Linked DNA regions of Saccharomyces cerevisiae S288C. Changing the gene in region 1 together with any one later gene gives a genetic interaction. Each region holds a gene or a part of one and is shown in the gene's direction. Other genes may lie near its edges. The genes, in order: YLR285C-A, AIM26 and ECM15.

Region 1 (2,369 bases):
AATCCTTAGCTACTTACTGTGAATCTTCTGATGCTGATATTTTCCTATTATCTTTCTTGAACCAATTTCCAACCCTTGGTTTGAACTTTGCCAACGCATGCTCTGATACTTTTTCTGATGGCTTACTTCACTGCACCCAGATTGCTGAAGATATTGAAACTTGCCAGTCCCTAGGAAAGAAAGTTCTATTATCATTAGGTGGTGCATCTGGTAGCTACCTCTTTTCAGATGATTCTCAAGCGGAAACTTTTGCACAAACTTTATGGGATACTTTCGGTGAAGGTACAGGTGCCAGTGAGAGACCATTTGACTCAGCAGTCGTTGATGGTTTTGATTTTGATATTGAAAACAACAACGAAGTAGGCTATAGTGCGTTAGCTACCAAGTTAAGAACTTTGTTTGCCGAAGGTACAAAGCAATATTACCTTTCTGCCGCACCACAATGTCCATACCCGGATGCTTCTGTTGGTGACTTGTTGGAAAATGCAGACATTGATTTTGCGTTCATCCAATTTTACAATAATTACTGCAGTGTGAGTGGTCAATTCAATTGGGATACTTGGTTAACCTATGCTCAAACTGTATCCCCAAATAAAAATATCAAACTGTTCTTAGGTTTACCTGGTTCTGCTTCTGCTGCTGGCTCTGGTTATATTTCTGACACTTCTTTATTGGAATCAACTATTGCAGATATTGCCTCTTCAAGTTCTTTTGGTGGTATTGCGTTATGGGATGCATCTCAAGCCTTTTCCAACGAGCTAAATGGTGAACCATATGTTGAGATTTTGAAGAATTTGCTAACAAGTGCTAGCCAGACCGCCACTACTACAGTTGCCACCTCAAAAACCTCAGCAGCCTCAACTTCATCTGCTTCAACTTCATCTGCTTCAACTTCTCAGAAAAAGACCACACAATCTACGACATCTACACAAAGTAAAAGCAAAGTTACTTTATCTCCAACTGCAAGCAGCGCTATCAAAACATCAATTACTCAAACTACAAAAACATTGACGAGTAGCACCAAGACAAAATCTAGTCTAGGTACCACCACAACAGAGAGCACTTTAAATTCAGTTGCTATCACAAGTATGAAAACTACTCTATCTTCCCAAATAACCAGTGCTGCCTTGGTGACCCCTCAAACAACTACTACTAGCATAGTTTCTTCGGCCCCAATTCAAACAGCTATCACTAGTACTCTTTCGCCAGCAACGAAGAGTTCTTCTGTCGTTTCCCTACAGACAGCTACTACTAGTACGCTTTCCCCAACAACGACCAGTACAAGCTCAGGTAGTACAAGCTCAGGTAGTACAAGCTCAGACAGTACAGCTCGTACATTGGCTAAAGAATTGAATGCTCAATATGCGGCTGGTAAATTGAACGGTAAATCTACCTGTACTGAAGGTGAAATTGCATGCTCTGCTGATGGGAAGTTCGCCGTTTGTGATCATAGCGCTTGGGTTTACATGGAATGTGCTTCTGGAACCACATGTTATGCTTATGACTCCGGCGACTCAGTCTATACCCAATGTAATTTCTCTTATTTGGAAAGCAATTACTTTTAAAGTTATTAGAGATTGATTCATAGAGTCCGAATATTTTTTTTTGCAATATTCTTTATTTTTCACCTCATCTCACCGCCTCTCTTTTATTTCGTCAAGGTACCCTGCCTTCATGTTTTTACGTTTTTATAATCGACTACTTTATATCTATAACGAATTATTTAATTTTCTTCGATTTACTGTGTTTCTACCATTTTGCGAATTCGTGCCCCATCATGACTTATTTTATTTAATTGTTACATATCAAAGGACACTGGTTTACAAACATAAAAATGATTGTTGAGAATGCCAATTCCGCCCACTTACTACTTTTCATGTGTTAAATAGTACGCATAAACACGAGATCTGACTTCGATTGTTTCCTCGTCTTCGTCAAACATCGGTTTCCAATTAACCATTTCAATTAGCTGAGGAACCAAATGGAACTCGTTCTTAGCCAATTCGAAGAATTCTAAATCCTTCTCCAACAATTTTGGTCTATGCGGTGAAAATACTACCAACGCCTGACCTTTCTCAGCTAATAAATCCTTTGTTGTTTGAAGTAATTTGTGATGTTCCGTATGATTGAAGACTAAATCACTTAAAATGATTAAGTCAAACTTTCCATTATTGTTACCTATTTTTTCGATATGTGCCAACAATGGAGAATAATCGTTTCCCCAAATATAACCCTCCGTACTGACATTATTAAAATCTTCAGGAACGTTAGACTTTATATTATAATCGATGTTCTGCATTAAATCAGGATCTGGATAATCAGTTGAAACAACCATTTGAGCCCCATTCAAAGCACAAATAACGGAAGGT
Region 2 (3,024 bases), on another chromosome or scaffold:
GGATTTCCGATCATACCTTTAAACAAAACGACCTTGACCAGTGACTTATTGTTAGTTAACACACAGCCAATTTCCAATATACACGAAGTCAATTCATATGTTATTTTGTGGTTTAGAAATTCATTGGAATTGTTAGTTCGTGTTGCTCTGAAACAAAAGCCAGGTGGCAAGTTTTTCGATAATATTGTTGGCGTGGCTTTGTCGCCAAGTAATGACAACAACAAAGCTGGGTTCACTACAGCCACGGCAAGGGATGATGCTGAAAAAACAAGACGTGATTCACATAATGAAGTACAGGATACTTTGGAAGTGCAAAGCGTTTTTATTGCCGCCCTCAATGAATGTTTCCAAAAAATCGTGGATATTCATCCCAAATTCAGAGAAAACAACGACCAAATTTCGCCGAAGATCAAAGTCATTTATTTATCTACTTTTATTCTTTTAAATTACATTTTGGCATTTGTTGGATACGATAACTCATTTGTACTTGGAATGTCGGTGACAATTTTTAACGAATTTAAATTATACAAACTTCTATTATTTCCGGAGCCGGATATAAATGATGTGAAGCCTCCAGTTGATGAAGAGGTCAGCACTGGTAATGGGAATACAAAAACGTCCGAATTTGAAATTGGATCTGAAAGTGCTGGGCATATGAATCCATCCAATTCACCAAATTCCATGGACGAAAACATTAGTCACTATTCAGTGTTGTTTAAAAGATTATACGTTTTGCTTTCAGTGTTTGATTCTTTACAAAGCTGTGCATTCGGTGGTCCCAAGCTATTAAACATTTCCATCCAAGGTTCTACAGAAAGATTTTTTTCTAATGATTTGGGCTCAAAATGGTGCCTGGAACAAAGCCAATTGAGACTGAAAAGCGTCTTGCAAAGCTTGAAATTGGGTGAATTGATGAGTGAGCTTACCAGGAATAGAATATCAATGAACGGCAATAGGAAGCCTGGGTTCGATATTACGAACTCGTCTTCACTCTTATCGGAATATGTGGAAACTCAACCTCTATCCGTAGCACAGTTATTTTGCAAGCTATTAATTGGCAAACACAATTTCATCAATTGCTTATTATCATTATACGATTCAGAAGCAGGAGTCTATTCAGATTTGACATTGGATTTGAGTTCGAAAATAGCAGACTCTCTGTGCTCATTGATATCAATAATTTTGCAAGTATTGACGTTGATATTAAGACTGAATCCTACGAACAGTATTGATTTTAATTATAGACCACCGAACCCACCCGCTAATAATCCGACAGTGCAAGAGGGCCCATCTGCTATGGGCTCGTCTCCAGTCGCTGGGAACCTTAGCGCTGCACCTCCATCGGAGGGGAATCCAGATTTTTACAAGAAATTACTAGGCCTGAAACAAGACACTGGCACTATCCTTTCAGACCTTTGCCGGGGGATAATTTCCCCCTTTGCTATTGCTATCCTGCACGAGGTCTACAACATCACTGAACTGGTCAAGCAGATGCCTACATCACTCATTAGCATTATGATGACGGCAACTACAACGCAGAATACTCAGGACACCAAGAAGTCGCAGGACCTGGTCATGAAGCTGTCAAACTCGATGAATGAAGTAGTTCAAATCACCAGCGTGCTGACAATGATCAAGCCATTCAAGATCTTCGAGCACGAGCTTAATAAGCCCATAATGTCCCTGACAGGAGGACTTTCGTCCACGACCAGAAACGACGTCATGTGGCCAAAGTCGGGCCAAGGCCTCCGCGAGTCATCAGTCATGAAGACATTGCTTGATGAACGCCGTACTTCTGGTACACAACCGACAACGGCGCCAGTAGCCGCAGAGGAACCCAGGCTTGAGAACGTTGCCCTGGAAAATTTCGTTAGTATCGGCTGGAAGCTGTTGGACGATTCCGAGTTAGGCTGGTATTGACAGGTAACTATGCTCCCTTCTCCTGTAGGTCAGGTTCTCCCTTCTCCTCAGGCAGAAATTCGCGTAAAGAACTACCATGCAATGAATGACCAATTTAAGTAAAACACATAAATAATACTTACTTACACATATACACACTAGCTGTTTTAACCTGTAACAATACTGCCTTGTCAGAGTGCGCACGGCCTTTTACTCTGGTGCTCCACCATCTTCCACGGTATTCGAGAGTCGCCAAGCTCAGGGGCGCATGCAGACAATGGGCGGGGAGCACCTTCTTCTTTCACAGCTAAAGGGGTCTTTCTTTCTCCTACTTTTGGCATACTTTTTCAGGGGCAGAAGTCCTTATTACGCACGTTGCTACCGCCGGCTTGCTGTTACACCTGGTGCCATCACTATTGCCATTGCCATTGCTACAGATTCAATTCCGGCGCTTGCAAAGTCCAAAGTTCTGGTGTCGGTTTGTTCTCACACAGATCCCTGTACAGCGTCTTGTAACCTGATCCCCTTCCCCCGCCCCTTCTCGAACAGCCTGACGCGCTTCCTCTTTTGTTTGGGCTCGGCCCGTTTTTGCATTTCCTTTCCCTGTTTTGGATTGAGTATATAAATCTAAACAAACAACAAAGTTCTTCCAGCAGGTACCATGAGATTGAAGTTACGGTTTTAGGAGTTGGAGATTCAATTTCTGGTTCTTTCCACATCAGCAACGTTAAAAGGCCTAGTCCTCTTCCGATTATATAATATAACTTCCACAGCAAGTGTACCATAACATAATAATGTCCACTAAGAAGCACACCAAAACACATTCCACTTATGCATTCGAGAGCAACACAAACAGCGTTGCTGCCTCACAAATGAGAAACGCCTTAAACAAGTTGGCGGACTCTAGTAAACTTGACGATGCTGCTCGCGCTAAGTTTGAGAACGAACTGGATTCGTTTTTCACGCTTTTCAGGAGATATTTGGTAGAGAAGTCTTCTAGAACCACCTTGGAATGGGACAAGATCAAGTCTCCCAACCCGGATGAAGTGGTTAAGTATGAAATTATTTCTCAGCAGCCCGAGAATGTCTCAAACCTTTCCAAATTGGCTGTTTTGAAGTTGAACG
Region 3 (2,686 bases), on another chromosome or scaffold:
AAGGTTTATCTGCATATGGTTATCAACAAGTAGCTACAAGATTGGCTTATAGGTGGCTGTACATGATTACAAAATCATTTGTTGATTATAACGGAATGGTGGTAGAAAAATATGATGTGACAAGAGGGACTGATCCGCATCGCGTTGATGCGGAATATGGTAATCAAGGTGCTGATTTTAAGGGCGTCGCTACAGAAGGCTTTGGTTGGGTGAACACAAGTTATTTGCTCGGATTGAAATATATGAATAATCATGCAAGAAGGGCTCTCGCTGCTTGTAGTCCACCATTGCCATTTTTCAATAGTTTGAAACCCTCTGAGAAAAAATTGTATTACCTATAATATTGACGAACATATGTAAATAAGATATATGTTATATTCTTCTTTCTATCAATAACCATGAGATTGTGCCTCAGTAATATTTGAGACGATTTAGAGTAAGGTCAAATATTATTATTAATCAAGTTGTGTAAAGGCTCATTTGTGAAGGTTAGAATAGTAATCGATGATTTTCAAGTAAAAGTGTTTGAAGGGCATTTCAGTAACATCTTCAAACTAGGAGTTTGTTGAGACAAAAAAGTCTGATTTTCATAAGATCATAACTTACGCTTTGAAGATCGTTATGAGTACCTTGTAGCTTGCCAGATCTTCTTGCTTATTCTTAAGCTCTTGGGTAGTACTGTATAAGACTGCTTGACATCGGGAACACTATCATTACCGTGTGATAGAATTCTCGTACCAAGCCGGTTCACCTTTGCGTGGTCTAGTGCATAGGAAGAATGACTAATAGAAAGCTTTCATTTCTATTAGTGTCTTAAATGCGAAGAAGGTATGGGAATCTATTACATACATGAAGAATATAGGATCTGTATATCGTCGTCACCGACGTAAGGTTTTTTTGTCAATTCTCGGTGAACAATTTTTTGCAAGAAATATATTGATACTTCTTGTTGAAATATTTTTCTTTTTCGGAAAACAAAAACATAAAATAATTATTTAAGAAAAAAAATTAATTAATAAATTTAAATAGAAAATCTTTTTTACTTAATAATAATTAAATAAATAAGTCACATGATTTATGTAGGATCAATTTGCTCAAGATTAATTTATTATTATTGATATTAGTAGGTGCCAGTTGAATAGCTATATTTTCAGTCTGTTTGAACGTTCTTTTTTTCATTTTCTGCTGAAAGCAAGTACTCCTACTTTTATTACTTTACATGTTATCGGAGGCCTGCACAGACACTTGTATCCTATACTATCAAGGTAAATATGATTGATTGATCCTCTTGGGAAATGGGATTTTAAGTTTTGTTAGCATTCTGGTTTGCCAACCTGTTGGTAAAGCACTATTTTTCAAGCTTTTGCAACGAGATTTGTCTCTTTGATTTTTTATTTATGATTTCTAACTTTTTACTTTTAGTTAAACTATTAAAGAATAATTTTCGCAAGGTACATAGCGATTTAAGTAGTTCAGAAAAGAAATTATTTAAAAATTACTCGCTCTCTTATTTGAAATGAAGATGGTTTTCAGACAAACTCCTACACAAGCTTGTTACTGGCTTTCAGTCCGAAAACAGCTCCAAACCCTTTAATAAAACCTTTCGTTTCTTTTACTTTTTATTCGAATTATATAGCTCTTTGACATTCCTTTTTTAGTATGATTCAAGCTCCCCTCTTTTCCACCCCGTGAAAAACAGAATATCATTAACCGGGATTCACTGACATCGTCAAAAGGAGAGATCAAGATATTCAGTTTTTGTCATTGCCGTCGTGATCATTAACTATAAAGCACATAAACTACAAGTTTAGAAAATGCCCAAGATCTTTTGTTTAGCGGACGTGTGTATGGTCCCTATTGGCACCGACTCTGCTAGTATTTCTGATTTTGTTGCACTCATTGAAAAAAAAATCAGAGAAAGCCCATTAAAGAGCACTTTACACAGTGCAGGAACAACAATTGAAGGGCCTTGGGATGATGTGATGGGTTTGATTGGCGAAATCCATGAATACGGTCATGAGAAAGGATATGTTAGAGTACACACTGATATTCGTGTTGGGACTAGAACTGATAAGCACCAAACTGCTCAAGATAAGATCGATGTTGTTTTAAAAAAAATTTCTCAATGAATGCTCGTGTAGTGAACCTAAATAGGGTATATCTTTAAGGAGAGTTTAAGAAACAATTTAATAATAACTGTTTGCAAAATATCTTTCCCAATTTTTTTTGTTTATAAAGTTATATATATACATTTATACAACTCCCTTCGGAGGCTGATAGACTAGACCCTTCCAATCATATCTGGACAAGTAACAGAACCCTAATGTTACAATATATAAAAAATGCCACTAATAAAAAGAAAACATGACTAAATCACAATACCTAGTGAGTGACTTAGGCTTGAGTAGAGGAGGAGTATTTGGTAACAGCCCTAGTACCTTCGGAGACGGCATGTTTAGCCAATTCACCAGGTAAGATCAATCTAACGGCTGTTTGGATTTCTCTAGCAGAAATAGTGGATTTCTTGTTATAAGCGGCCAATTTAGAAGCTTCAGTAGCAATTCTTTCAAAGATATCGTTAACGAAAGAGTTCAAAATAGACATAGACTTCTGGGAAATACCAGTGTCTGGGTGAGTTTGCTTCAAAACTTTGTAAATATAAGAGGAATAGGTCTCCTTTCTAACC

The links.
Region 2: mutations in YLR285C-A (region 1) and AIM26 together harm fitness more than expected from each alone (negative genetic interaction), as found in Saccharomyces cerevisiae (one large-scale study listed by BioGRID).
Region 3: mutations in YLR285C-A (region 1) and ECM15 together harm fitness more than expected from each alone (negative genetic interaction), as found in Saccharomyces cerevisiae (one large-scale study listed by BioGRID).

Annotation. Positions count from the first base shown.
Region 1 is NC_001144.5:707,644-710,012, reverse strand, and holds YLR285C-A (uncharacterized protein), read left to right. Parts: upstream 1-1,674; coding exon 1,675-1,845; downstream 1,846-2,369. Other genes in the region: CTS1 (chitinase), read left to right, coding at 1-1,565; NNT1 (S-adenosylmethionine-dependent methyltransferase), read right to left, coding at 1,868-2,369.
Region 2 is NC_001143.9:367,198-370,221, forward strand, and holds AIM26 (Aim26p), read left to right. Parts: upstream 1-2,167; coding exon 2,168-2,524; downstream 2,525-3,024. Other genes in the region: RGT1 (Rgt1p), read left to right, coding at 1-1,920; UGP1 (UTP glucose-1-phosphate uridylyltransferase), read left to right, coding at 2,694-3,024. UniProt on the Saccharomyces cerevisiae protein: Involved in selective mitochondria autophagy (mitophagy).
Region 3 is NC_001134.8:236,596-239,281, reverse strand, and holds ECM15 (Ecm15p), read left to right. Parts: upstream 1-1,814; coding exon 1,815-2,129; downstream 2,130-2,686. Other genes in the region: alpha,alpha-trehalase NTH2, read left to right, coding at 1-341; HTB2 (histone H2B), read right to left, coding at 2,395-2,686.